Schizosaccharomyces pombe: one gene and its partner. The protein of the gene in region 2 purifies or fractionates together with the protein of the main gene of each other region. This does not show direct contact. Each region holds a gene or a part of one and is shown on either strand. Other genes may lie near its edges.

The links.
Region 1: the proteins of set9 (region 2) and pdp1 purify together in Schizosaccharomyces pombe (affinity purification with western blotting; one study listed by BioGRID). This does not show direct contact.

The regions. Positions count from the first base shown.
Region 1 is NC_003423.3:2,054,286-2,070,340, forward strand, and holds pdp1 (PWWP domain protein Pdp1), read right to left. Parts: upstream 8,000-16,055; 5' UTR 7,898-7,999; coding exon 6,818-7,897; 3' UTR 6,086-6,817; coding exon of another isoform or gene 5,507-6,085; 3' UTR 5,350-5,506; downstream 1-5,349. Other genes in the region: AAA family ATPase Gcn20, read right to left, coding at 1-2,139; atp14 (F1-ATPase subunit H), read right to left, coding at 2,813-2,836, 2,883-3,073, 3,126-3,161, 3,210-3,255, 3,303-3,317; ort1 (carboxylic acid transporter), read right to left, coding at 3,978-4,871; rps902 (40S ribosomal protein uS4), read left to right, coding at 5,507-6,085; telomerase reverse transcriptase 1 protein Trt1, read right to left, coding at 8,187-8,349, 8,392-8,488, 8,532-8,698, 8,738-8,987, 9,025-9,238, 9,280-9,428, 9,475-9,659, 9,701-9,870 and 8 more; rsm23 (mitochondrial 37S ribosomal protein mS29), read right to left, coding at 12,223-13,653; ribosome biogenesis protein Rrs1, read left to right, coding at 14,108-14,608. UniProt on the Schizosaccharomyces pombe protein: Necessary for DNA damage checkpoint activation. Required for the association of set9 with chromatin and subsequent methylation of H4K20. Associates with H4K20me1 to increase the concentration of set9 on chromatin to perform H4K20me3.
Region 2 is NC_003421.2:1,147,302-1,162,693, forward strand, and holds set9 (histone lysine H4-K20 methyltransferase Set9), read right to left. Parts: upstream 8,761-15,392; 5' UTR 8,306-8,760; coding exon 6,980-8,305; 3' UTR 6,613-6,979; downstream 1-6,612. Other genes in the region: anillin-related medial ring protein Mid1, read right to left, coding at 152-2,914; protein Cwf20, read right to left, coding at 3,541-4,413; SPOM_SPCC4B3.13 (MatE family transporter), read right to left, coding at 4,942-6,561; protein fra3, read left to right, coding at 8,905-9,255; ipk1 (inositol 1,3,4,5,6-pentakisphosphate (IP5) kinase), read left to right, coding at 10,847-10,859, 10,916-12,825; mrpl12 (mitochondrial 54S ribosomal protein bL12m), read left to right, coding at 13,209-13,243, 13,293-13,779; Lsk1 complex gamma subunit lsg1, read right to left, coding at 14,035-14,691. UniProt on the Schizosaccharomyces pombe protein: Histone methyltransferase that specifically trimethylates 'Lys-20' of histone H4 to form H4K20me3.

The DNA of each region.
Region 1 (16,055 bases), on a different chromosome or scaffold from region 2:
CTTGGAGACGACATTATGGTCACACTGCCAAATACTGGTACATGTCTTGTCCAAGAAATCAACATCGTGAGAAACAAGAATCACACCACCTTGGAAGCGTTTAACAGCTCTTGTCAAGGCATCCATGGACTCCATATCCAGATGGTTGGTGGGTTCATCTAGAATAAGAATGTGAGGGTTTTGTAGACCTAGGCATGCGAACGCAACACGAGATTTCTGACCACCAGAAAGCGTGATCATTTTTTGCAATGCAAGAGGTCCACTAACACCAAAAGCGCCAAGATGACGACGGTATTCTTCTTCACCTTTGCCAGGAAATGTCTTAGCTAAAAAGCTTAAGGCATTCAAGTTTAAGTCCAAAGTATCGACATGATGTTGTGCAAAGTATGCAATACGAAGTCGGGGGTGCCGACTAACTATACCAGATGTTGGATGAAGTTGTTCGATAAGAAGCTTAAGCATTGTTGATTTACCAGCACCGTTGGGACCAACCACACCGATACGAGAATCCATTTGAACATCAATATCAACATGTTTGAGAATAGGGTGACCTGGAACATACTCAAAATTGACATCAGACATTTGTAAGATAGGAGGAGATATTTTTTCCACAGGTGGAAATTCAAACTCAACTTCTTCCTCAGTTTGAGGCTTTTCAAGGATCGGCAGTTTTTCCAACTTCTTAATACGACTTTGTGCTTCGGATGATTTGGCAGCATTATAACGAAATTTGTCAATGAATGATTGCAAATGTTTGCGGTATTCCATTTGCTTTTCATATTCACGAAGTTGATTTTTGCAACGTTCTTCACGAGTAGCATAGAATTGACTAAAATTACCCTTATAGTAATCCAAGCGCTCAGAGTGTTGATGAATAATATCAGTAGCAACTTCATTCAAGAAAGAACGATCGTGTGAAACGACTAAAACGATATTTTTATAAGTTTGTAAATATTCAGATAAGAAAGCAATTGAGGGAACGTCAAGCATGTTCGAAGGTTCATCCAAAAGTAGTAAATCTGGTTGACAAAACAGAGCACGTGCCAATGACAAACGCATACGCCAACCACCTGAAAAAGTCTTGGTAGCATGGCTTTGCATTTCTTGAGTAAATCCAAGACCAGCTAAAATAGTAGCAGCGCGTGATTCTGCTCTATCAGAGTCCATCTCGGAAAGCTTATTTTGAATATCTAACAACCGTAAATCAAGTTCGTCTCGTTCACGCTCAAGGCGACGGGAAATAGCTTGATCAGCAGTTTGGTCTTTACTAAGTTCTTCCAATTCTTTTTCAATCGTTGATAGACGATTAGTTATCTTTTCCTGGTCCTGAATCAAATACTTGCGCCAAACATCGGCATCCAAAACTGACTGTAGGGCAGGTGTATCATCACCTGTCATTTCTTGCTCAACATGAAGAATGGTAATATGGGTAGGAATCGCAATTTCACGGCGAGAAAGAGCACGTAGAAGAGTAGATTTACCGATACCGTTGCGACCAGTTAAACCGTATCGTCTACCCTGTGCAAGTGTCAACGAAGCACCAGTCAATATACGATGACCAGCAAAAGCAAGATCAATTCCATCAATTTTAATATCTTTCGATTTTCCTTGGTTACTTCCGGATAAATCTAGAGGATTTACAGCCATGTAAAACTCTTCATAAGACTTTTGTTCGGGTTGAACCAACTTTGAAGATTCGTATTCTGCTTTGATAGTACGTTTCTCCCATTTGGCACGAATCTTCCGTTCAGCCTTCTCTAATTTTCTTCTATCTACCCTAGATTCAACCTTACGGCCCTTTACAGCATCTAATTCCATCTTTTCGCCAACCAAACCCATAGTTGACGAAATTTCGGATTGGGAATCCATTCGAATAGTCTCCTTCAAACGAACAAGTCCATTCGTTTGTAATGTATCTAGATGTTCCTCTCTTTCTTTAAATTGTTTCTCTAGTTCGTTTTGTATGAGCTGTACCGCTTCCTCACGAGCGCCAGCATCTAGCAATAAATTACGAATGAGAGAGATCGTATGGTCTGAAGCCTCATCTACATCTTTAATAGCATCATTAGCATATCCAGTGCAGTAGCTGAGGACATGAGGGTCTACTTCAGAGCAATTATTCTGAATGACTTGCTCCATGTTGGATGTGAGGTGGATAGTACTAAGCAAGTTATACTACTGCTATATATGAAGCCTCAATCGGCAAAACGATGAGACTAGGCATGAAAATATACTAAATACCTTATAATAGTGAATTATATATTTTTTTAAGAAAAAAAATTACAATTCCAAGAAAACTACTGTGAACTTTACTGATATTTTTAATGACCCACAGTAGACATCAAATTTTATCAAGCTAATCCTTATTGTTGAATAAAAGCAATTGTATTGAGTTGATATAAATTGAAAAAAAAAATCCAAATGTGAACTCAATAGAAATACTTTGCAAAGAGAAAAACATCTCAACTCAATGAAAGTGGTTTTCTATCAATCAAGGCAACAACTGTTTCGTGCCGTAATCGAAGAGACGACTAAGCATTGAATTCAGCTATGTTCAAAGACATTTAGAAAGCAGAAAAAGGATACGTTAACCTAGAATATAAATCATAGTGAGACGGGAGTTATAGAGATACATCCACGTTCGTGGTCAATCAAAAGAAGGATCAGACAAAGGCATGAAATAGATATAAAATCAAATCTCAACGACGTAGATGAAAATGTAAATTCATAATCGGAAAATAAAAGGCAAAATTTAATCAAAGTTAATTACCAAACATCTTCCAATTGAGCATAGGAAAAGCAGTGAATAAATTTAATGTTCTTTTTCATTCTCATACTGAAGGAAAAGTTAGCTGATGCAATGTAAAGGAAGAGATACATACTGATTCAAGAAAGTCAAATTTGTTGCTTTCTCCAGCAGCCTTAGTGGGAATGGTTTCTCCCTCATACTTGTAAGAGTTTAAAGCAGAAGTAAAGTCAACATCGTATTTTGGAGCAGTAGGAGCGCTAGGCATGGACCATTCCTTTACTTCAGCTGCCGTTTCGGAAGGGACAGCTTTAGGCTTATATGATTCTAAGACACGACGTGTAAGAAATTGGTAAATTAAGAGAATATAATAACATACTTAAAGAAGAAATATATAAACCCTGTACTACATCGACTAAATTGCCATTAGTAATCTCATCAAAATCAAAATGTCATTTCATACCGTAAAGACGAGGGGAGGTGGTCGAATAACTACGACTTAGTGATTTCTATATATTAGCTCCTAAATTCTTAAAAAAAGCAATGTATAACGTACCAAAATTCGAGACATTGTTCTTCCTTCACAATATATGTGGATGGTAGTGGTAACTCACTTAGGTAGCATGTATTGAGTAAGAAAGCCAGCATTGTCCGAAAGTACATTAAACATACTAAATCTAATAGCTAAAGTTTTAAATGCCCAAATAAACAATCGCTGAAATAGAAGGACTATTAGTCTCAAAAATTTCATCCAATTTACACCTCTACCAAAAATCTACAAAACAAAATTCAACTATACAAGAAAAAAAAGCGTAGGTACATACAGATATTGAAAGAGTTGGATTAACCAAAACAGGACGTAAAAAGCAAAACAAAACAAAAAAAAACAGGGAAAAGAGGAAAAGAAAATATACTTTCAGATTGAAACGGTTAACTCGTGAAATGTATAACAAGTTCAGTGGAATTACTGTCAAACTAACAGCAGCACATGATATGAAAAGTGATGAGAGGGGAGTTTTTGAAGGTAAAAATGCTTTTAATAAAAAATAAATAGCATCAAAAAAATTGTAAAAGTATTCCATGGGACTTTAAATATATACGACAAAACCAGTTCTAAAATGTGATTAAACTTCAACCGCAAGTCGAATGCAAGTTAAAATATGTATAGAAATGCATTCCGACGGGTTATCGACTCAATGGACAACAAAGACTTCGTAAAACTAGAATAAAACTATTTGCTTAATACTTTAGTTTCCCGAAATAATTCAAAAAGCGTAAAATTGCAAGAATTTATAAGAGCGCTTCGCATCAATGAAATACCTATACCTCGATATATAGTAAACGATAACCAAGGAATGGAAGACAAAGGGGTTTTAATTGATAAGAGTGTATTTCTTTGTACAATGGATTTGGCTGTATCCACCGGGAATACCAAAATCCAAGACAAAGCGCCGCAAAAAGCACCAGAGAAGGCATAAGCAAAATGCGGCTTCACATCATTCGCTATCAGATTTTTCTTAAAGGTTTCGTATATTGTAAAATAACAAGCCGATCCTAGAGCGTCTCTGGTTAGATGATAACGATACCCATTCCATAATGCAGTAAATCCATACCTCCGAACAATGTCAGAAGCGCTCTGGAAAGATGACAAGGGAGGTCTGACACTTAGCTTGGAATTTGTCTCTTGCCGACGGCCCATATTTGTTTTGCGAAGAAGCATGTCAATTTGTGAATATAACTTTGAATACTCGAATGGACAAGCAAAAAGTGATATAAAAGTACCAGTCCCAAGCCCGGAAATGAAATACCGAAGTGTAGGATCCACATGAGCAAATGTAAGTTTTAAGGAATCATACACCGTAAATGATACTGACCTCGATAGAGTGGCTGATATCAATGGTAGAGTAAGACCACGATACAAACCTTTTAATCCCTCGTTTTTAACAGCGTTTTGGAAACAAGAGCGAATGGTTGGGAAATTGTAAGTTTGCTGTCGAACTTTAATCGAGTCAAGAGGATACCCAATAACATTGCTAATGGCAGAAGAAACCAGAGCAGCGGAAAAGGTAGATGCGGGAGAGCCCGAGTGTGCTTTATGGGGCTGGTTATGAACTGGTAAACCCATTTTTTGATCAATCCTTCAGAAATAAAATAGAGAGAAATGAGAGAAGAAAATAAAGATCAATATTCTAGCAAAAATAGATTTTTCGACTTATCTAAACAAATGAAGTAATCGAAATCCTCTTTCTTTATGTAAGTACGTATATGTACGTCTAAATTGTATGTATAGTCTAAAGTATTCAGAAGTTCACCACCCATGTAAGATGAACTACTAAAAAAAAACTTGTTTTTTATATTTTGAAACTCGAAAAAAAGTAAAATCGTCAATAATTATGATCAATTTCAGAGAAAAACCAAAAAAGAGACAGTAACAGCACAACACTCACAGGATTGTGCAATTAATATCTTCAAATAGAGTTTAATACGCACTCACAAGATACAGTGTATCCCTTACATATGTGATCTTCTATTTTAGAAAAAATAAACAACACCTTCTATTTACAAATCTAACTTCTGCTTTTCCTTCACAAGGATATAAGCTAGAGGGTTAGTAGGAATAGTGTGTAGTAAGGATATCGGTACGGGATGGTGATGGGACAAAACCCTAACCTAATACTACAGTATCTCAAAAAGCCGTCACTGTTGTGCCTTCTTGAAAATACATAGCAAAGGTAGGTTGCGCAAAGCACCAAACAAACAATGCCTTCTGCTCCTCGTAAGCAATCCAAGACTTACAAGGTTCCTCGTCGTCCCTTCGAGTCGGCCCGTCTAGATGCCGAGCTCAAGCTTGCTGGTGAATATGGTTTGAGAAATAAGCATGAAATTTGGCGTGTAGCACTTACCCTTTCTAAAATCCGTCGTGCTGCTCGTGAGCTTTTGACCCTTGACGAGAAGGATCCTAAGCGTCTTTTCGAGGGAAATGCCATCATTCGTCGTCTTGTTCGTTTGGGCATTTTGGATGAGTCCCGTATGAAGCTTGATTATGTGTTGGCTCTCCGTATCGAGGACTTTTTGGAGCGTCGTTTGCAAACTCAAGTCTTTAAGCTTGGTTTGGCTAAGTCCATCCATCATGCACGTGTGTTGATCTTCCAACGTCACATCCGTGTTGGTAAGCAAATTGTCAATGTTCCTTCCTTCGTTGTCCGTTTGGATGCCCAAAAGCATATCGACTTTGCTCTTTCCTCTCCATATGGTGGTGGTCGCCCTGGTCGCTGCAAGAGAAAGCGTCTCCGCTCTCAACAAGAGGGTGGTGAAGGTGAAGAAGCCGAAGAGGAGTAATTCTTTTCTTTGACTAGTAAAAATGAATCCTAATCTCTGAGTAGAAAATGAAATTCCTTTCTTGTGTATTTCACTAGTATATGTAGCTTATAATCTCAATGCATATGGTAACTGTTCTTTGTCGTACATTTTTTTTGAAGTCTACATCTTCGTATTAAATTAGCGCACTAAAGCCTTGTAGCGTTTTATAGATTTTTGAAGAATCCAATGCTTCGTAAAAATTGTGAAGACAGATAAACTGACTTAGGAGACAAAAAAAAAAGAATACGAAGATACTAAAGGTATAGTCGTATTGGATGAAATTGTAGTACTTAATTTTTGCTGCTTAAAGTTTTTGATATTTTTCGTTAATTAATATATAGACAAATAGAGGCAATTTTCTAAAGGCACGTGAATTAGAAATATATCTTGTAGGCCGCTTTCAAAAAAAAAAGGAACCATCAACTGAACAATGTATATTGCCAAAGAAATGTGAATTTTACCTTCTTGTGTGAATAGCCACAAATACTAATTTAACGTAAACTTAACTGCTAAAATACACTGTAAAAATTGTATCTAGATGATAACATTAAATTTAAACAACCGGCAAACTAGCGCTTCGCATCTTACTTAGAGTATTCATGATAACAACTTGCTTCCCACCGATCTGGTATGCAATACCGGTACTCCAAAGCATAAGTAAAAGGGTGTCGTGTGTAATAGGAAATCAGCTTCTATTGACGTTGAGAAACACTACATGCCTTTTATCGATGGTTCGTTTGGAAGAAACATAGCCCAACTGTAAAGCAAATTTTTACATTTCTGCCTAATATCATAAAGTTCGTCATTCTCTAAATGCTCCAAAAAAGCAATTCTCTTCAGGACCTTTGCCAATTTAGTAGAAGTAATCAATTCGTAGTTCAGGAACGGGATATCACTTATTGCGTTTAGATATTTACTGGCGTTATAAAAATCTTCTTCAACTATCAAATGATCCGGCGAAAGAAATGCTTTTTGTAGCTTATGGCGAAAAAAAAGTAGTCGCTGCATTAGTGCTTTCGTCTGGTCATTCAAAGGTGAGGAAGGAGATATACGGCCCCTCTCTTGCGGGTTTTTTAAAGGTTGCTTTCCTTTTCCTTTTGCTTCTCCCCTATGATCAAAATTACTTGAAAGTGGGTACCTTTGGTCACTTAACTGCGTAGAGCTACGAGAAGTCGAAGCGACAGTAGGACCATACATTTCAGAAATAGAAGTTATTGACATCAAGGATCCGCTGGAGATACTCTCCGCATCTGATTCATCAAGAGATGTCTCCCAATGATATTTTCTTTTTTGCAAAAAATTAGGCTTCTCCTCAGCAGCTGATAAGCTATCCATTTCCTCATCGGTGGAAGATTCCTCCTTTAAATCAGGAGGAGTTTTTGAAGCCTCATAAGCTTCAATAAGTTCTTTAGACTTCCGCTTTGAGGAACCAAGAAATTTGGCTATTTCGGAATCCAATAATGGCTTAACACTATTTCTTTTCACCCATGCAAAATTGAAGTCAGGAAAAAACAAAACCTTATATAAGACATTAAATGAGCTATTAGTATTCAAACTATCCTTAGTTTCTTTTCGTCTCAGTAGCAAGGCCGGCCACCATGGATAACCTGGGGCTTTTACCAAAATTCGGTCACCAAAATTTAGCCTGTCATCTGCAGAAGCTTGTTCCAAATTATCCTTGCTTTCTTCAACAACACTGGGTATATTACTCTCTTTTCCTTCGGATATGCTTAATCCCCCTTGTTTAGAAGATAATCTTCGTCTTTTTGCATTAGTGCGGGCATTATTCATTATAGAAAACCACTTTCCTTATTCTAAATGAAAGGAGATTAGCCTCATGTATTACTTTTAATGTTTAACCACTCCCGTTTAATGGGCATGTGGGCAGTAGTCAGCAACCACTGTCAATCTTTCTTAAAAGTATAAGGATAAAGACAAGTCAATCAAAACTAATAACGAGATTAATTTTACTTTACTAGAAATCCTATAGTATGCTTGCTTTGGGGGTCAGCTATACTTAGTAATAATATTGTTTAAGACACCAGTAATAAAGGATGTATATAATAAATTGAAAATGACATTAATCAGCTATTCTTCTATGTAAAAATAACACCTGTCGCAAAACTGGTCTTAGCGGCTTGATAAGATCAGTCAATGACTGAAATTGGTATATTAGCTGTTCGAAGCATGGATGATATTTGAAAGAGGGTTTCAAACCATCTCTCATTCCAAGACAAAAAAGCCTGATGTGTCAATATTGCTGAAGTCTCGAGACCGACACGTACCATTTGACTTCTGCAGAGGACAAGAAACGCCTACTCGTATATCCTAATATTTCGGCCAACTTTTTCCAAATTTTTCTTCCAATAACATTCAAAAGATCTAAGGTTAATTAATGACTTTTCTAGTTAAAATAAGTACTCACCCGTTATGAACATTCTTTGGGGAATAAATATATCCTTCATCCTTTTTAAGTATGCTTGTGCTCTCATACACATAGAGTATCCTAGCCTATATATATTGCAGCAAGAATTGAATTTTGAATTGTGGGTAATGTCAATAAATACTTGTGCAAAGGATGCAAGGCTCGATCTGATTATTTGTCAGCTATTATTCAGTTACACAGTATACCTTAGAATTTTGTAAAAAAAAGATTTCCCCATATGTTTCGTCAGCTCTACAGATGTAGAGTTAAATAAGGCTTCATCAATTTTAGGACATGCTAACAATGTATCAAGAGACCTCATGTTCACAGAGAAACCGAAGAATGGCATTCTTTTCTTGCTTTCATTAAAAAAAGTATTGTTTATTATCCCATTACTATTTTCAAAGTTTATTACTGTTTTCTCCAGGCTCGTAGAAAAATTGTGTTTCTCAAATCCTTCAACGGTTAGAACTTAGGAATGACAGCAACTCACCTCTTAAAGATAAATTCAAAAATTTTTTTGCATCCTTTTTATTAACTGTTATAAAGAGGAAATCGTCGACTACTCGTAACAACACTGATCCTTTCTTTTTCGTAAACGATAGGTATTCATCAATCAAATCTTCCATATAGAAATGACACAAAAAAGATGACAGAATTGAGCCCTGAGGGATACCAACTTTTTGAAGGTATTGAGAATTTCCTATCTAGTTTCATTAGTGTTATTACAATTCAACAATTGGTATACCTTAACAATGTGTCCAGAGAGATGTTCCTTGAGCATTTTAAAAATTTCAGAAGAACTTTTGGTCCAATAATCCACAAAATCAACAAACAAAGTATCTGATGTTTTCATAGAAAGTAACTGCACGACTTTTTCAAAAGGCACCATATCAACTAAAAAAGAATTTGTTAAAAAATTCCAATGAAAAAATAAACTTACAATAGGAAAACGCCTCACTAACAAAGTTTTTTGTAGCTCGGTCACTTGTTGCATGTATGGTTGCATACTTTCGAATTACAAATTCGGGATCCTTGAGTTTCTTTTTAACAATCCGAAACATCAAATCTTGCTTTATTCGATCATAACAGGATTTTATATCTATCCGTACAAAATACTTCTTACGCCTGCAAAATTAATAATGAGGAATCGCGCATTATATAATTACCCAAACATTCGGTGCTTAAGAAGATCCTTCTTAAAAGTAAGAAGCTTCATGTAAACCTCCAAGTTAAATGGAATACCACTACTTTCTTCATTGATTAAATGTTTCAGTATCGATGCCACAGGTCGTAAAGTTTGGTTCGTACTGACTAACATTTTTTTGTTTGAACCCATCTGCTAATAATAGATTAGAAGTAAAGTACATTGATGACCAAAAATTAATACCTTTATTAAGAATCTTTTTCTTAAATTCGTAATGAGACGAAAGGTATTCTTCTTAGGTAATAGACGAATAACTGCTGGAGGCAAAGTAGTTTTCTGAGTATCCATCCTAACATTGTTCTGAAAATATTAGCTTTTTGCAAAAAATACTTTAAAATACCTCGTTTATTTTTTCAAACGCTTCCATTTTCATTGATGTAATAAAGGGTCGGCACAAGAGTTTCCAAATATCTTTTCTAAAATAAACAGTTCGATTTCGTAAATCACTTGATTCAGTGATATAAAAAAAAGATTGTAAAATAGGTATTATAAACGAATTGTATAGCCAGTAGATGAATTCCGCAAATATTTGCTTGCGTTTCTCAAAATCACTTAAGCACATTTTCGCATTTGACCTTTTTCCAAGGACTAGCCATTCAATTTCTGAAATCTGATTGTTAATTAATGGTAAAAAAATTTGGCATATTACCTTTATGTTACTCATTAAATAATGTAAACTAAAAGACTCGTATCTCGATAATTTCAAGAAAGTTTCGAGGTCTGGTAAAATCGTTAGTGGTAATAAATTTTATACAATACCTTTTAATATTATCTCAAATATCCTTTGGTTACCCCAGATTAATTTAGGAAACACTCGAACAAGAATGGATCGAAGAAACGCAAACACCTGGTTCGGCTTTAAGGAATAACTAAGGATTTTTTCATCATCGTGGGTGTCAATATATGGGCAATAATGGTTGTAAACTTTTGATAGAGAAATACGATGGAGTCGCTTTGCTGTTTGTTCAATTAAAGGGTATACCTTTAGGAGACGTTTGGGCACAACTGTACTCTGTGATACCAGTGGAATCACTTTGTGCAATTGCTTCACTTGAAATGCGTTTATAAGTCCAAATTGCCTTGGAAAAATCCATTGAAGCCACATGTGTACTGTGTTCCGATCACAAATAGAGTGTAAGTTAAAATATAGATCTAAAATTAGTTATGAAGGATAACAGTATTAGTTACCTTGCTTAAACTTCTTATAGGATGACCTGTAAAAAATGCTAAACCTACTAATTGAAATGCTATTCCAGGAAACTTCTTTGCGGGCGCTTTTATTTTGAGTAATGGATGTTTCAATGGTTCGCTTTCTTTTTTTTGACACAGTTTCCTCAAACACATTATTTTTAAAAAGTGGTATGCCAGAAATCTGAAGGTAATTGTCATTTGGAAGAGCCTCAAAAATACTTCCTTTGGATAATAAGTAATGCATGGCATCACTGCCGATACTATACTTGTCAGTCTTGTTCAAAGTGCGCAACATCTTAACCGGTATTTACATTTCTAACAAAAGTTGCCAATTTTTTGACTCAAGTATAGATATAAGGTAATTAGGAAAAGTAGAAACGAGATCATTTTGTACTCCGTTTACATGCATGGCTCGAAAATCTTCATGATTCTTTATCGGTTAAATACAATCTCTTTGAAACAGTAATTGCAGGTAAATATTTCACAATTAGAATACCTTACCATGGAAAACCCTTTCATCAGTAGATTCCTTCGACGCTCAAAACTTTCATCGAACATCTGTTTTACAACATTCGCTATTAGCTGCCCATATATTAGCTATCCCGAATAGAAAAAAATCAAAACAAAAATATATATACCTCTGACTGTGAGCATTTTGGAGAAGAAAATTGAACACCTTCATCTGGCTTACTGTCGAAGCCGACTACAGTCGAATGAAGAAAAATAGAAAAGGACGTTTGTACATCGCTTCTCAAGCGTTCGCATATATTGCTATACGAGCTTGCCGGCGACCCTCTCAAAACAAGTTGTACATAATCATTTAAGGTACATAGGTATACATATTGATTCTCTAGAAAGCGAAGAATCCTGCTTTTGGGGGTATGGTGTTCGGTCATGCAAGTTACAAGTAACCATTAAGCATAACTATATATATGCAAAGTGTCCTACTGATCATAACGTTTTAAATAAATAGTGACCGCAAATATTGATTAATATTTATAATTATAGGATTTTTTTTATATAATGATAGCTAATAAATGTTTTGCAAAGTATCTTTAAACTAATAACATTACACGAGTAGAATCACCAATCTTTCTACTACTATCAATTATAAGCGAAACTAATTTAGATTATTCATTAGGGGGAATAGTGAAAAAGGTACGATTCCAGGAGTAAAACGGAAAAAAGCCTAATACGAGATGATACATATTTGGAACAACATGAGAATAGAAAATAGAAAAATAAAACCGCGTTAAAGGAGTTGTAGTGGATAGAAATTTTTGAATATCTCAATCATGCTAGACGTGTGCAAGCATCAAAAAACTTTCGCGGATTACCACCACTAAGGACATGATTTTGCAAATAATTATCAACCTTTTCAAGGCAAACGTTGGATGATACCAAATACTCCATCATGCGACGTGACTCATCTAAAGTGTAAGGCTCCATGTTAAGAATATGCACGGACTGTAATGAATCTAATATAGTCTCATCAGAAGATTTGTAAGGATTTCTGTGAGCTACTCCAAGAGCTATATCCAATGACGGGGTAGAAACACGCGGTTGGCTAGAAGTAGCAGCTAAAACAGTACCACGATTAAAAGTAAGCGAACCCGAAATATATTTGAAAAGTAAATTAATAAAGTAAAAGTCTTTAGGGGGAAGGAAGTTGTTCTTTTTGTCCTTATACTTGGTAACGACCGATAAAATAGAAATATTATCGATCACTAATAACACCTTCATATTGGAATTTGACTTGGTATTGTTATTGAGTTCTTGTAAAAATATTTCCAGAGATTTAGGAGCGTTCGAGGAAGCAATTAGCTTATGAAGAAAGGAAAGTAAATCGGTACCAGCAGGAATGCATTCGTTCTGAAGCAACTCATGACTTTCAAAGGTCTTTAGCTTCTTAAGTTTATCAGAATTAGTTTTCATAACAGAAGTTAGAAATCCCTTAATTAAATCTGGTTGCACCCACAACTTGAGTTGCTCATCATAACCATAACTACTCGTTGAATTTACCCATCCTTCGCAGTTATGGACTGGCAAGACTATAAAATTAGGTTGTGATAAGGCGAAAAGTTCAGCTTGTATGAGAGCAATACTTCTTCCTGAACCTGGAGCACCATCAAGAAGAAAACGTCCGTCCTTCGTACCCTGGTCTTTGGAGCGCTGCAGTACATTCACTAATTCAGTTGTAATTTTCCTGTGCAAAAGGGAAGCACTGGTAAAAAAGGAGAAACTTTTTTTTTGTTTTTCTAAAGCCCCAAATCCATTAAGTTTATTAAGCAATTCCTCGGGGATTTTAAACATCTTACCTTCAGACTTGCTGGACCAAGACATATGCGGATGAATTTCAGAGGGCTTCACCTCTTCTAAAGTATTTTCTCCTTCATTTAAGAGATGATCCAATACAACGCTACTATTGGGAATAGTCGTCGATTTCTCTACTGACGAAGTTGAGGGGGGAATTTCATTAATTCTTGGCGCTTCCGAATTTTTTTGACGCTGCTGGTTAGAGCTTGAATGTATATTTCCTCCAACAGGTCTACCCGTATGCTGGTATTGTGAGGATGAATAGTATTTGTTAAATGTGCATTTTTCAAAAGTGTAGAGTCCTCCCAGTTTACTACCGCAAACAGTCAGTTTTCCACCGGACAGGATATTAGAAATTCTCTCTGTATTCTTAATAATACTACTTCTGCTTCTAAACTTCGGTAGCATTTTGTTAGAGGTATTTTTTTCTCGTAAATCTTAAGTATACATATCTGTTCTCACGTAAATGAAGAGACTGACTGCTTCCGGATGGTAAGTATTTACTGAGCTCTTAGCGCATTGCTAATATTTTTTAATAGGGTAGATTTGGCGTTCAGTAATAAAGAGAACTAACGTATTGCTAATAAGTGTCTCTACTTTTGCAAAAACTAAAGAATCGTAAAAGTTTTCTTACTTTCTTCGTTTGTCATAAAGAAAGTAAAAACAGTAGATTGCTGAACTGAAAGAGAGCTTTTTCTCTTATATATTCAGTAGTTTGATAAAAATTTTGGAGTTTGAAAGAAGAATTTCGTATCCTGAACCAACTTTTTAACAAATCAATTTTGCAGTCTTTTTTGAGAACTTTTTGTCACTTAATTGTATTATCAACCCTTTTTTTTTCCTTGTCCCTATTTCGTTAATCATGTCTGCACAAATAGAAAACTCCATTCCTCTAGATTTCGATTTGGGAAATATGGCTGCATTTGATATTTCTCCCTTAGATGAAACTAAGCTTAGCGGTTCAGAGAAAGAATCATTCCTTTTTTCTCTCAGTAGAGATAACGTTCAACAATTGGTGAACAAAATGATTTCCTTGCCTAAGGAGCGTACATCAGATGGCGTCCTTTTACAGCTTCCTGAAACTGTTACACCTCTTCCTCGTGCTAAACCTTTACCTAAACCCAAGCCCGAAACCAAATGGCAACGGTTTGCTCGTATTAAAGGTATTGCTCCTAAGAAGCGGGAAGGCAGGTTGGTGTTTGATGAAGCATCTGGTGAATGGGTACCAAAATGGGGTTATAAGGGTAAAAATAAGGAATTAGAGACACAATGGCTTGTTGAAGAGGGAGAAAAGGAAAAGAAGCTTACTTCCAAGCAAGTGAGAAATACCTCAAAAAAAATCAAGCGCTCTCGTCGCCATTAATTGGTCCTGCTTAAAAAAAATTTTTCTTAATTTAAAAATTTACTATAATTTAGCTATTCATGGGTTAAGTGGTATAATATCATTTTTATTTTGTTATTATCGTTTGTTTTTGTTTGCTACAACTAAAATCCCTTCTTCAATTGGGATATCAACGGGTACAGAAGGAATATGTAAGACATCGGTTATGTGGCTGCTTTGTTTACACATTTTTATGTGTTAAAAATTAACGAGCACTTTTTTGAAGCTGCTACTCGAAAATCGAACGTTAAAATGTTGAATGTTTACGAGTTAAGTGTAAAGTAAGTTTTAACAGCAACTGTTTTGATACACTGTGGGATTTCCTCCAATTGAATTTTCTAATAACCTCTTGTAAAAAAAGTTTCATACAGTTAAAATGCGACCATATCGTAGTTAATTATTATTTTCTGTATGCAGTCTTAAAAGGCTGGAACATCATATTAAGAGCCCAACTCATGGCTAACTGATATGCAACATTTTTGAAATGTTCAACAAACAGAATTTCATCAGACTCAACAATAACAATCCTTTCTAAATTACTATATAGATTGCAACATCAGTCTAAATATCTGAATGCATTAGTGGTGTAGCGGTAACATTGGAGCTTCCCATGCTCTAGCTCCGGGTTCGACTCCCGGCTGATGCAAATATAGCTGTGAATTTTTAAAAATATAATTGTTTATGTTCTAAAATTGGTTTTTGCATTTTCTATGAATGATATACTCAATCAAAACATATCCTTTTGAGTGGTAAACATAAATTTTTAGTAGATTATATAAATAAATGTGCAAGCCATACTTCAATTTCTAATCATTTTTAAACCGAGTGTATAATAAGTTTTCTAATACTGACTTGTTTATTTAAATATTTAACATAATAATTAATTTTGATATGAGATTGATGCTTTTAGTAGTAATAATAAAAAAAATTTAAAAAATGCAAATAAATAGAAAAAAAATTAAAGAAAAACTCATTAATCCAAAAAAAAGCTTACCAATATTATCATTTGTTTCTCGGTTGGCTACTTCGTCGATTTTATGGTGTATATCATTAATTTTCTAAGTATTGTTTACGTTCGATATTTTAAGCAAATACTTAATGCATCCCCAAAGACCACTAGTTAGTTTTAAAAAATAAGAAAAGAAAATAATTTATGTACAAATAACTTTGCTTATGTTGATAAAGTACAATATCATTGTAGTCATTCTTTCAAAAGCGGAATTCTTTCCTATATCCACTAAGGTAACCTGGTTATTCTTGCCGTCCGCAACAACAAAGAAAACAGCTATTCAACTATTTCATTGATAAAAGCGTTACTCTTTGGATTAAATTAGCATTGTATTTAAAGAAGAAATCGACTCATCAACGGCCTTGCTACTCTGTTTTAGCTTTGTGAGATCTAATCAAACGCGCTACGAACTCCTAAGTG
Region 2 (15,392 bases):
ATTAATTATTCAGATTAAAAATGAAAAATGATCTATAAGTATTAATTCAGTAGTTATATAATTTCAGTTCAACTCCCTCATTTAGTAAATCCGATAAGTAAAAATTATTCAAAAAATACATTAAGACGATTAGTATTCATAAATTCAGATATTAAGCCATAAAATTCACGTATTCTTGTAACCATAATTTCTCAGTACCCCTATCTAGAGCAAACGAGCGTGAATTCATCACCTGAAGCCATTTTTGGCAAACCTTTTTAGAGTCCGCAAACAACTGAACATGCCTTCTATCAACAGATGTAGCCAATATTCCAGCTACTAGACCGAGGTTTGAAACTGCCTCTGAAAAATTTACCATTGGGATTGAAACTACTGTCTTAGAAAGCTGAAAAGTATCCAAATATTGCCCACCTTTTTCAGCATAAAAATTCAGCTGCTTTGAGCGTAAAACGACAAAACGTCTTCGAATAGATGAATCTTCCAATCTATACAAGTATCCCTCATTATATAGATAGTTACTTCTAACGTGTCGCAAGTCCATCGTAGCTTGTTCTAAGGTAAATGGCAATTCCTGCTCTGGAACCGAAAGCTCAGGAATATACAAACAAGTCAAAGTTAGATTACCAAGTGTACGTTTCCCTATAGAGTTTATTTTTACAGGAATCGCTTCCAAGAAGCCTCTGGAAATGATGGGTATTTCTACGTTGAAAGCCTTTCCAAAACAACTGTCTTTGACATTACCCAAATTTAACGTAGCAGTACCCGAGACTTTCTTGATAACCACTGACTTCTTAGCCTTTGAATTCTCAACTGCAGCAGCCTTGTTGAGTTTTCTCTTTTTGCGTCGGTTGAAAAGCTTGTCAAAAAATTTCCTAGCTTTGGATTTCGTTTCAGCAGGCTTACCGTTTGAAACGTCTTTTGTAGCAGATACTCCTTTCGAACCGTTGGACTTGTCCTCAATAGGGATGTCAAGAAACATAAAACTCACTTTAAAGTTATCGTCAACATGAAAAGCAAAATCATGGTCCAACCTATTATTCCCATTAACAGCTTGCCAAGGAAGCTGCATATTTTGCGTAGGCGTATTAACTATTATCTTGATAGGTGAATGGACTTCACTTATCGAAATATTCAAAATGCTGTTCAAATGTATATAAAAGCGACCAAGTGGCAAGGGCGCCTTTGGTTTCTCTTCAAAAAATGTTTCATTCACAAATCCAAGAGAAGTAACAGGACGTGGTGATTGATTTTCAGTACCATTCGGGACTTCGTAAGACGTACTCTTATCCTGACTTGGAAGATCAAGGCGATTCAAATCAAAGGAATGTGCACGACTTAAAAGTTCGCTATCTCTGGCTACAGGCGTAGACTGCCTAAGTTCATCAATGCTGGCGGATATCTCGGCACTAGGGTCGTAAAAACCTACTGTACCAGTTTCCGAATAATTCCATCCTTCGACGTTATGGGACTCAGAACTGACTAAACTTTGGCTAGACTTGTTTGGCTCATTTTCACAATAATTACTATAAGTACGCTTCGTTCCTGGTACGGGTTGCATTGATGGGTGACGTAAATCTTCAGAGCTTAAAATAGCACTCAAATTGTCAATGGTAGAACTGCTTTTTATACGACCACGTTGACTAGATATACTATATCCCACGGAAGCAGAAGTTAGATTGTATCTGGGGACTTCATGATACGTTACAGATCCATGACCATAGGCGGCCTGAGATTTCGGAATTGAAGTGGCACTAATATCCTCATCCATATTTTCCTGTTGTAAAGAATCATTGATAATAGTAGAAATCTCAGGTTCTGAATTACGGGAAGATTGAAGGTATAACTCATCATAGTCTTTACCGTTGGTGGGAAGGGAAAGCTCAGAGAAATCATAAACTTTCCTAAGTGTACTAGCATAGGAAGATCCACTGGAAATCCGTTTTGCTTCCATCTTGGCCAAAACCTTTTTACGAAGACTTTCTGTAGAGATATCTGAGTCGTCTAAGGTGGCCTCTGGGACTGAAGAAAAAGGCTCTGAAGTATCTTCAACAGGGGCTTCCTGAATGGGAGCTAAAGGTTCTAAAGGTTTATAATCCATATCGAGAGACGCCGTCGTTTCGACCCTTTCCAACGCTGGATTGTCCTCTGTGGTATCTTTGGGAAGACTAGGAAGAATCCTTGGACCTACAGTAGAAGATGCAGATAGATGTGCTGGAGGTACGGGCTTGACATCAGATGGTATGCGAGCCAAGTTGGGAACGCTTCCAGCTCTTGCTCGGGCTGGGTTTGTAGACAGTTCATTATGGGATTGATATGGATGTTGAACAGTGTATTCCAACGGAGACATTGTCTTAGCTCGACTAAATTCTGCTACTTCTACCGCCCTCTTGCGAGACGATTTGGAGCGGTCAAAGGATAATTCAGCTAAATTTTGATCCGGATTAAATGTTTCATAATCTGCAACAATATCAGCACCTTTCAAAGACGCAGTAGAAGAACTTGTCGAGTTCATAGTTCCTGCCGAGTACGTCAAACTAGGAATGCGACCTTCTTCCTCGGAATTAATCCTCTTAAACACTGATGTACTACTCATTCTTTTACGATTATCAGGACTATGTTGAGAAGAAAAAGATGAATCGAGGTGCCCATAGCCATGCATATACATGCTTCTTAAATCAAGTGACTCTAAAAGATCTGTCGCAACGTTTAGTTCCGAAAGGTTTCCAAGGGACATATCGCCATCTCCATGTGTAAAGTTTTTTGTTTGATCATATCCCGAGGTTTCATTACTGTTACCCTCAAAAAAAAGGGGTGTTTTTTCTCGATTTGGAGAAGAAAGAAAACTGTTTTCTAAGCCTTTAGAGTCAAGAGACACATCTTTTGCTTCTCTATATGAGAACTCTTGCTCTTTCATCGTCAGGATAGCTTAATTAGACTTTACAGACTATAATACCTTATCGAGTGTTAAAATGTGGACACAGTATCATATAAGCACCCTGAAGTACAACAAAAGACGAGCCTTCTTCTTTATAGCAAATATTAATTCAAATTCTATTAAAATTGATGCTAAAAGCACGAAAACCTCTTATAATTTATTGAAATCCTTCTTCACCTCAGTCATGTGGAGTAGGCATAGGTCACACAAAATCGGTAGACGCTATGATAAGTGGTAGTCCCAGTGAGAACACTGATTATATGGTTAAACAATTCAAACTCTGGATATACCATAAATCGAAGATTAAAGCCAAGTTTCCTTTTTAAAATTAACAAAAAAAGGCTAGTTGCATTGCAAATATGAATTATAGCTGGGACATACTTGCAAAGATAATATTGTATTATCAGTATGCTTATGAATAGCGATGAATAAAGTCATTAGTATGTAAAATAAAATAAGTAAAATCATATTTTGTTGTCTGCTATTTTCGCAGAAACTAAAAAAAAATACATAAAATGAATCTGTTGATAAACAGCTTTTAATTTACAAATACACGAGCAGTTAAAACCTAAAACTAACTATCGGGGCGTAACATTTACTTAAAGCTAAAACCCATACTTTTGAGAAGATGCCTTTTTGTTTGATCGTTGCTGCTCAAAATAAGCTTCAAAGTTGTCTTTTTGACTGATAGCCATTTCAACAAGAGAAGACAGTTGATGACGACCAGGTGCAACACTTTTAATAGTAGGGGCGCTTGGCAATGCTTCTTGGGTCGGTTTTGGAAGTTTGTTGATATCAACGTCTATAATTCGTCCCTTCTCTTTTCGGTGGCGTCCAATTTCAATGTAATCTTCATTGATAATGTTTATGTCCTCTGCATTTGAATGTACTGAGTGATTAGCAATAGAAATGAAATCGTTCTCGGGTTGATTCCTCAATTTCGGAGGATTTGCTCTAGCTTTAGGTTTTATCAAAATTGGTTGGTAAGGTTTCTGATCGGAATCTACTAAAGAGGCTTGCTTTGACTCTGATCCTACGATATTAAATAACGAAACGTTACCAGACTTTTCTGAATACGTTGATTTCTTGACAGTTTCGGAGGATCCAGTAGAGGTTAAATCGCTTACAGAGTTATTAGGTAATAAATAGTTTTCATTTAAATCAAGGTCCGATCTTTTAGATGACTTTGGAGCTAATTCAGCTTGATTTTTTGGGGCAGGCAAAAGTTCAAGTAAATCATTAGATTTAAATCGTTCATTAGAGATAACATCAGATTCATTAAAAGTTTTATCATTAAAAGAAGATTTCTGTAAATCAACTTGCCGTTTCAGGCGTTTAGGTGACTTTTTAGTGCTGTCAACCGACAATTTTCTGCGCGCATGCTGAAACAAAGTAGGATCGAAACTTTTAGAAGCTAATGGTGTTTCTTCTTCAATATCGCTTTCGGATTCTGATCGAGGATATGAAACCAGAGACATATTTTATTAACTTTTGATATTAAGTCGTTTAATAATTCTGAGCGAGCGATTTGTACTCGGTAACTATTCTCACTGCGAACAGAATTATTTATGGCAATTAATATACTCGCATCTGCAAGATGATTTACATATTTATTCAAACTTAAATTAATTCTTTAAGTAAGTCTTAAAAAGAAATAATATTTAATTGAATGCTACCGCCCAACGTTGCTAGCTAGCATATGTGGTATTTTATATATTAATCACCCAAAAAGATTCCAAATTACCATTAATTTAATTTACTTTTATAAGCTTCATAAATATGAGAGTTTAAAGCACTGCAATTTTCGTAAACTTAATTTTTAGGATAGGCCAAAACATGGCCAAATCTTGAAGACTGGAAAAAGTACCGACTCGAATACTTTTATCAATCAACTGTTAGTAGTCGTAACCATGGTATCATAAACCGAACATATCTCTTCAAATATATCAATTTATGACAAACCACAATACATATTTAAATAATCATTAACTTGTCCGTATCAACTTTTAAGCCTCATCAAACTGACGATTAGCAAGTTCAACTAAATGGTCCCAATTGACATGCAATGAGCACCAAGTTTCTACTCCAGCAATAATTAGAATTGCAGCTCCAATTCCAATCCATAAACCGTACAGCCCCCAATCTAGCTTGAAGCAAAGGATTATGGCAACAGGCAAACCCAATAAATAATATGCGATGAAATTTACTACCCCACCAATCCTTTGTCTTCCTTGTCCCCGAAGAAGGCCTCCAGCTACACATTGTGTATTATCGGCAATATTAATGAGTGCAACAAGGGGAATGATAGTTGCAACCAATGCGACGACATCTTTATCAGACGTAAAAATGTAAGTCCATGTGTTGCGAGTTAAAAAAAGGATTACAGCAATGATAACACCAATTGCAGCACCTAAATTGATAGAAACGTGCGTAGCTAGCTTAGCGAGTTTCGTATTTCCAGCACCAATTAAATTTCCTACTCTTGTGGCAGCTGCAGCAGCGACACCGAAAGCCAAATTATAAGAAAGGGTCGAGGTAGTAGACAAAACAGACATAGAGGCTAATTCAGTGGTACCCAACACGCCCGATGCGAAAGTAACGAGTTCAAAAGCCCAGTACTCACTGCAAATCATAATTACACCAGGAACAGCCAATCGACATAACGGGCCCCAATTTTTTAATGCTTCTCTACTAAAACCTCCCCATGCTTGTCGTCCGTTTACCTTCATAATATAGATAATTAGAACAGCACAAGCACTCCATAGCGTTAATGCTACAGCGACCGGTGCACCTAGAAAACCGAAACCAACCCAGGGACTCCACACAAAAAGGTAATTAAGAAAAATATTAATAGGTACAACAATTGCTAAAATGTATGTTACAGGATGAAATATACCTTGCACCTGAAGGAAACGTTTTAGTGCTTCAAATAATGCGTATGCCGGACTAGCCAACATCATTACTCGCATATACTTTGCCGCAAACATACAAGTAAGAGGATCCTGTCTAAGGAATAAAAGTATGCCCTCTATTTTCCACCATATCAAGAAAATAGGGAATTGTATCAACAACAATATGGCCAGAATCCTCTGTAAATGTAAACCCACCATTTCGTAATTTCCAGATCCGAAACTTTGAGTTCCAACGGTATCCAAAGCAGATACAATCCCCTGATAAATAGCAAAAGCCGTAATTGTGGCAGTCATGTTAGACAGACTTGCAGCCGCAAGCTCTGTTTTACCCAAGTGGCCCAAAGAGAAAACAGTAGTAACCACCTCACCATACTGAAGTAAAGACGTTAATACAACAGGGGTTGCGAATTTAATAAGTAATGTTAATTCTTTCCACCATGCCTTGCTATTAAAGTCTTCTTGTACTGAAAGGCCACTCGCAATAGATTCGTTTTCTTCTGTTTCCTCTAAAGCGCCATATGATACATCAGTCGCAGGTCTTTGTACCCTAGGTGTAGGCTTTCTTAAGGAAGTAGTGGGTCTTTCTTGTGGAATAGGTGAAACTTCCGAAGCTGCGGTGTCAAGAAATTGGGGTCTTGACAAACCGTAAACAAGACTCGATCTTCTTCGTTTAGGCTTATAAGATCCTAATAAAGGATCATTTTCCCCTTCCATTATGGATATGTCTGATAAAGTTAAAGGAAAAGGGGGTCAAGTTTAAAAAACTTGTGGATGCTAGTAAAGTTTGTGAGGCCAACCGGGCACAGCTTATATAGTGACATATTACACAACCAAAATTTCCCTCAGTTATAAAAACGTAGTATATTAAAACAAGTCAATACATTGAACGTTAATTTATTGAATTTAAAAGCATTCAAATATTTAGTTAATAGAGGTGGTGAATCCCATGAAAAAATCAACAATAGATTGAATTAGCGAACGGAATGATTCAAATGTACATTGTTCACCTTCGGATATACCCTGAATAGTGCAAGATTTTAGTTTTTTTTTTTTAAATAAATGCTTTAAAGTCCAACTAACAATGACCTAAATTAACCAAAATTTCCAATCTTAATATAAATAGTCTAGTCAACTAACTTTGATAATCAACAGCTTTTTTGTGTCGCAGAGACATACTATGCGAGCTGGTAACTAAGTTCCTTTTTGTATTAATTTCCTTTTCTTTCTCTAGTTTCAATTCACGATTAACTTTATGTCTACAAGGCCAAGGTAATGAAAAGAGTTTAGAATGTCTAATACATTTCGGACAAAATGCACTCGAATTTTGAATGTCTTCATTAATAAATGTCTGGCTACAGTTTGAGCATTGGTAAACCTTTCTTTTTCCATGTCTTTTTTTCCATAGATCTTCACGAAATTTTCGATAATCATCCACATTCAGTAACGGACTATGGTTCGTTATGGCCATCTCAGACAAAAGCCTTTTTTCTCGAGACCACACCCTTTTTTTGTGCCTTGGTATAAATAGTGAAAACTCCTCATCCAAATCAGAACTGGACGCATCACTCAGTTCACCACCTGAATCCCAAATATTCAAGAAGCTACGATCTTCCTCGGAAATCACGTAACGATTTGACTGCGGCAAAGAAGACAGATCGGAAACATCAGAACTACTCTTGGAAGAACAACTTGTTGAAGTAGCACTAGTATGGAAAAGCTTTTTAAAACCATTGATGCCCATTCGTTCACATGAGACACAAAGGCATTCACAATTTTCAAGGCCAAAGTAATTAGAAGAATAAAAGGTAGTAATTTCTTCACCTGGTTTTATGTCTCTTACACAGCGCAGCCAAATGCGCTTACCAGAAGTGTTAAATCGACAGTTAGCATTGCAGTCATGATTAACGAATCGTGCAGGGCCCAAAAATAGACACATCGAATCTAAGCGGCTTGAATGAAGGATGCTAAAGTCTTTTCCAATTCCTATATTCCGCTCTTCTTTAGGAGATAACTTAATAATTGTTCCACAGAGGTCTGTAATATCTTCTCCAGCATTAATTGATTCACGCGCTATTACGCAAGCTTCAGGCTTTGAGGAAGAAAAGTATTGGTTTGTTGAACAAATTTCAAATTTGCATGATGGTAGATATAATGAGAGGTAGTACTTCAGATGTCGAGTAAATGCTAGTAAAGAAGTGCTTGACAATCTCCGCAACAATGGATCAAGTTCACGAAATTGCAGAATATTTTTTGCCGCTTGGTCAAGGTCTGTTTGCTCTATAATATATTTGGTTATAATATTTATAATAGAACAGCTTTCCATTCGCTCAATTGATCGATCCACTAATTTTCGTACTTTATGAATTTGGGACCAATAAAACACCTTGTCAACTAGCAAACAAGTACAAACATCGTCAAAAAGAGAAAACGTTTCAAGATGAGTATTCGTCTGGCGCATTATGCATTTTCATAGGCGTTAGGCAGGTATCAAAATGTCATGAAACATTCAATGTTAAAAGTACCTTTCCAGTTGAACAACGATGAGTAATCTTGATGTATAAATTATAGGTTTATATGAGTTTGCTCAGAAAATAAAGGTTAGGAACTCGATAGTTTATCCAAATATGTAATATATTTCTGCGTTGGCAAATACAAAAATGTTTTTGAACACAACAATTCAACACAATCACTTATTAGGAAATCGACTAATTAGCGAAATTTAATTATTCTCGTTTTAAATAAAAGAATCCACGAAAGTCTGAACGTTGTAATTAAATATACACCAAGCTCGGACGGTCCCCTTAAAAGTTTTCACAGTTTTCTAGTTATTATATCTTTGTAAGTTATACTAATAAAGAGCGACTTTGCTTCGAATGAAATCCACCTAGACAAATGGGTCGTAGAAATAGCAGTAGGTTGGACCGGGACTGATGAAGTTAACTAAACTATACTAGCAACCCAATAGGCGAATGCAGATACAAAAAACTTCCTAAATCCCGTTTTATCATTATTGAGATACCAGTTTAATTTACTTCCTTCTAATATTCAAGTTTAAATATGAAGTTAGCCATCGGTAGGCTTTTAAGCCCATTATTTTTGAAAAATCCTCAGAAACCCTTGATCATTACTAAACGATTTTATTCGACACCCGGAGAACGAAGGATAAAGGACATACTCACTGAGAAGCTTTCACCTAGTTCTTTGAGAGTTATCGACGTTTCTGGAGGATGTGGCAGCATGTATCAAGTTGCAATTAAAAGCAAAGCCTTCCAAGGGAAGAACACTTTGGCGCAGCACCGTCTAGTCAATTCTATCCTCAAAGAAGAAATCAGAAATATGCACGGACTGAATTTGTCTACCGAAGTCGAAGACGATATATCTGCCGGCGGATCGACTACAAGTTCATGAGATTTGTTTACAAAGACCTCTCTGCCGCTACGATTTTACTGTTTAAGAACATAGTTGTCTGACATTTATTTTCAAATTAGATATGAAGCTCACGGCTTTTATTTATTTCAACGTTTTCCTAAAAACCTTGGCTTCTCGTTCATACAATGTAACATAAAACTTTCCTTTTTTGTTCTCAGTTAATACATCTGTTATTTTCGAATATTATTATATTATGCCTTCGATATGATTTTTGCGCTATAGACTTCTAAGTGTGTTTTCTAGAATTTAATATTCAAAAGGTAACGGCCGGGGAAAACATTGATGTGTATTTGGAGAAAAAAAACTTTTTCCGCAAGTCGTTGAGTCCGTAATTACCATTCCTGCTAATGTTGCTATCTTTACTACACTTAATGTGAGTCAACATTCTCTTCCGAAATTAAATTTCCAAAAGATAGACTCCTTTCGACTAATGTATAAAACATATTGATTTTAATGTTGATCCGTCGATGGAAAATTTCTCAACAGTCACTGATCTCTGAAACGTTCTCATTCTCACTCATAATACAACGCTATTTTTCAAACAAGTTACAGATATCGGCTTCTTTTTAGATGATTTATTCAACAAACCAATGCAACACCATATGGCTAATTCTTTTCTGAACCTTTCGGTTTGCGAAGTCATCAATCTCGACCAGCCTCGGATTTTTTGGTCAGCGATTTTAGCATGATAACTTTAAAATTGTTAAAATGACTTTCTTAGAAAATTATGATATAGGCGCATCGCTTTTTATCGCCTAACGGATCGGAATTATTTCTCGCACCGGCGATTTGAACTAGCTGAAGAATTTGCCAAACATAAGCGGAAAAACTCGATTTGGTACCAAACTTCACATTTTCAAATCGCCCGGTTAGTTAGTTTGGCCATCTTGCGAGTATATAAAGTTATCAAATCATGTCGCAATTTCAAGACTTGTATCACCAGAACGCACTACCACCTGGCAGACACATATTTTGTGCAGCTATTTCAAACTACTAGTAACTTTTACTATACATACTCTGCAACACAAATCAATTAATTAGCTAATGAATTCGCATTTCCAACTTCAACTCTTACTACTATAGTCGCAATTGTTCTTTTCTTGAGTTTCGTAAATACGGATTACGAGATTCATAAATAGGATCAGTAAGTGAAAGCTGACCTAACATCAGTCATTTGTTATTTTCACCATTAATCAACGCCTCGAAAGGGGTTATTTTTTTCGAATTGGAGTTGGAATTCTCTGTGGATGCTCAAAGCACCTGCTCTTTAACTTATTTTTACATTTAATACCATAATACGAGAACCTCTGATTTCCTTTGGGAATATCCCCAAGATTTACCTTCCCTGTCAAACCGCCAAATCCTTGCTGAGCATCAAAAATTCCCGCCTTATTAGACTAGAAAATTATCCTAGAGCTTCTTGTTTCAATTCACATTTACTTACTTACTCATCAGCCAGTTGGTTATATTTTCCTTCTCTTACAACTATTTCGTTCAGAATTTTGGTCTATTCTCATTTTCTACCCTTCTTCTTTTCTTTTTTGCATCCTATTTATTCTATTAATTTGAAATGCCTCTAAAAAGTATGTCTTCTTACTTCCTTTGAATTTGTATAGTGTGCTAATTTAATTTACAAAAGATTATACAAAGACTACGTCTAAAAAAGAACCTAAACAATTAGATATTGCTGCTTCTGATCAACAAATTGAGCAGTGGAGTGATCAGATCCACAAATTAGATAAAGCGATTCGTTCTACAATCGATAACTCTCGACTCTTCTATGATGCTTGGAGATGCATGGTTTGTATAGCTCCCTCCGTCACTGCCTCTTGGATTTCTTTGTACAGACAGTTACCTCCTGAAAAACAACCTGCTGCTTCTGTCGGAACATTGGTCGATTGGAACAAGGCCTTGGAACGTCAACGTCGTGAAGTCTTGCTTGCCCTGCAAAATTTCCATGTCATAGTTATTGCTCCTTGCAAGGAGGTCAAAGGCTATGTAAAGAAGGCAGTTGAAATGATTAAAAGAAGAGATAAAAAAGTAAAAGAACTTGAAAAAATTCAAAAAGAATTATTGGTTGTTTACGAATTGCCTGATCCTGAAACCAAAAAAAGTAAAATTAAAGCATTACAAAGCCAGCTTGTCCGTGTCAATGGTGAATTGGATGACCTTCAGAAGCATTTAACTTTGTCCTTCCCAACTCTTATTGCAAAAAGTCGTGTTTTTTTTGGACAACTTATGAAGCATTTTTACTGCTTGCAACTTCAAATGTTTCGAAAAATGCACAACATTGTTCGCCCTTGGGATTGTTTTCAAGACGATATTCCCCAAACGTGGCTCGTTGAGTTTTCCTCAGTTTGCCAGGCTGCTGAAAGCATTTCCTTAATTGCCGTAAACAACAACCGTCCTCCCGTAGAACTTCCAAAATCTGGTGATGTTTTATCAAATAGAGAGTGGGAAGCTGGAAAAATTGATGCCATGAATTCTCTCATCGCTCAGAATTTGCATACTTCAGCGTCTCAGGTAAGCCTTTCGCCTATGGCTAGTACCGCTAGCTCTTCTGTTACAAATTCTCCCGTTGACACACATACTCCTTCAACTCCAATTATGTCGCGTCCTCCATCCATGAAAGCCCTTTCTTCTGGTGTAGAGTCCCAAGATGAATCGGTTGCTAGTAGTAATTTTCAAGTTCCAATTATATCGAATCCGCTTTTTAAATCCCCTGCACCTTATTCACCAACATCCGTTATCTCCAATCATTCCTCCACCGGTAAATCCCTGGTGATTTCTGAATGGGCATACCTTGCCTCAGGAAGTGCGAATGTGGTGTTTGAGTATGTTGGTAAAAATCCTTACTTTCAAGACAAGGTAATTCGTCTTCGACGTCGAGGACAGGTTTTTACTACAGAACAAGTTTATGAATACTATCAAAATGTAATTTATCCTTTGTTTGCTGGAATGGAAAGCTTTTTAATTGAGGTTTTTTTGCAGCCAGTTACTAGGGATTTTTTGCTGGCGGCCCAAAATGCTTCTGGTATTTATTTAAATTTAAATGAGCAATACTGTTTGGTAATGAAAGATCTCAAAGATGGAATTGAAATGAAACCAAAATGGTTGACTCAGTCCCCTGCCGCTCCACCTGACTGGGTTGTTTGTCGAACGTGTGCCCTTAGCCGTATGCGTGGTAGACCCGTTGGTTTTTGTCCTCTACAGCTTGATTTCAACAATTGGCCCAAGTTTTTGTGCTGTCTTCAAGGATTTGTGAGTCCTGATATCGCAATGAGATTGTTTCAGTCTGGTATACTACGGAAGCTTCGTGACCTACAAGAGCAATACTCTCGTACTGATGTTGCGTTAGCGATGACCCTTCGAGATGTGACTTTATACATTGGTAAAGATCACATAACATTACTAGATTTAGATCCTAAAGACATGAATACCAAAATGTCTAAATGGGAACGTGATGAAAGGAATTTGATTGAAGGCGGTTGGTACTATGGTCGTGGGATGAAGTCTACTGACAAAGCATGCCGGAGCAGCATAAAGTAATTATCTCATTGTTAATTTTTTTTCTAATATGTAATACCACCATCAATTTGTGGATTTATTGCAATATTTCAATACATTATGCATTTTTGTTTTATTTGTTATATGCCTGATAATTAACAGGGAGATAAAAGCATAAAAATAAAGGGTTAGATTTATTTGTTCTCTTCAACTAACTGTTGAACACTTAATAATTCTAGAGCATTTTTTACTACGAGGTTAGTTTATTTTCTAATTATTACTAATGAAAAATTAATAAGATCCATTGAACATATTTTAGATATTTGATGAATGATCACCTAAAAGTTGTAGTTACTATACTTAACTTGCCAACCCCCATCTCACTTGCACCTTACTTCACCTCAAGTATAATTTTAAAATACAGCATGTTTCGCATCGCATCACGCCAAACAAGAAATCTGTAAGATTGTAATTATTTTTAATTAACAAATTTATACTAACTTTAAAAGACGTGCTTTATCTTCCAGTAAGAACTGGGCAAGATCGTTGGTAAACACGCGATCATTTCGAGCTGCCGCATCTGTACAAAACAATAATGCCCAAATTGGGGAAATGGTTGACAAAATAAGCTCTCTATCATTGTTAGAGACGTCTGAACTTGTAAAGCAATTAAAGGAGAAGTTAAACATTGCTGAAATAGCTCCGATGGCAGCAGTGGCTCCAGCAGTAGCTTCAGCCGCTCCTTCTGAAGAGAAAGCTCCTGAGGAAAAGAAAGAGGAAAAAACCACCTGGAATTTGAAACTCGAATCGTTTGATGCTGGTTCGAAAGCCAAGGTGATCAAAGAGGTGAAGTCTCTTTTGGGATTATCTCTTGTGGACGCAAAGAAATTCGTTGAAAGTGCTCCAAAGGTTTTGAAAGAAAATATTTTGAAAGAGGATGCTGAAGCTATAAAATCGAAGTTAGAGAAACTTTCTTGTAAAGTAGTCCTCGAATAAACTGGGTTGTTTATAAAAAATTTCATTTCTATGCTTTTCCGCCATTCAAATTCTTTGGGCAACCTTTTTGTTATTGCTTTGACATTGTGACACGATTTACTTTCTTGGATTCCCATAAAAACTAAGCTACGGAGGGAAAATTCATCATCTCTAAAAAAACCAGATATTAGGTAATGTATAAAATACTCCAAAATTATTAGTTAATTATATGTTTTTATTCTATTTGGGTTACACTCTATGTTTTCGCTCTTCGGTTCAGGAAGTTGCATGAAGACATTCATTAAACTTTTCGTATTCATCCTTTAGGGATTCCAAATCGCTTTCAGTAATTCCTTGGGTAGTGTTCCATGCAATTTCCGCTTCTAACTCTGGTTCTGAAATAGCCCAAATGTTTTCACGCATTCTTTTGTGTCGCTCTCTGTCTTCTTCAATCCTCTTAAGAATGTCGTTTTTTGAAATGGCTCCTGAAGTACTGGTATCACCTGACTTGCTCGCTTGTTCATGGGCTTCTACCGTAGCCATAGCATCTTTATATTGATTATCATCGATTACCTTCTTTTCATGCAAAGACTGGAGTACTTTTCTAACCTCTGGAGCGTTAGCAGCTCCAGCAGCTCCTATAGGAGCTACGTTCTGGACTAGCTTACAGATATCTCTACTAATCATATTAAGATATCCACCTGTAAGGCCATTTTTTAAGCACATCTCACAGAGTGTGTCCACAAAGTACATGATATTCACTCTTGTATTGAACGAACCTGACTCTAGTTCCTCCCATATACATGAATATAAGTCTTCTTCCAAGTCTAGATGCTTAATTGCAAATTGCGCGGGTTTAATTTGAGAGAATTGCGATGCATTCAATTTTCCCAAAAGCTGTAGAAATGTCATGCGGCCCTCAAATGGATCCATTTTATTATTGCAAGTATATTGGTAATTGCGAGTGCAACAACGATTTTTGTTATGATGGTTTTTCTTATACTTCGTGAACTTTGAATTCCAAAAACATCAAGAATAATTTTTTAAATAATAATAATGTGTGTTGTCTTAAATTTCAAATATAGAATAAACTTCCTTTGCCAAGTGTTCATCTATTCTTGAAGCTGCAATCTCTGAAATTTGAGACTAAAAAAAGCGTTGGGATACTATTTTGCGAAAGGACGTTGAACCTTTCCAGATTCAAATAAATTAAAATATACTCAGTGCATAAGTAATATTAAGAGGTCTTCAAACTGTTAGCATGTTGCAAAATCTGTTGCTTTAAGTAGCATGTTACTTTATTTCAAACACTATTACTGTACCTTTAAAGAAACTAAAATCTCATTTTATTAAATACTACTTTTTTAGTAATTTCAACAGCGAAATAGTAAATTTTCAAAGATATTTTTATATAGCCCTGATAAAGTTATAACCATTCACCAAACTGTTAGGATCTCTGAGTATAAATAGCGGGAAAGAATAACTACTATACTTTAATAAAAGCACAAAAACCGACCTTACTTATATGGTAAAATGAAACCCATGAATCAGTAAACAATTTTTATTTTTTTATACGCTCTACTAAGTCGTACATACAAAATCAACATTTCCTTTCAATAAAGAACTGCTTTGAA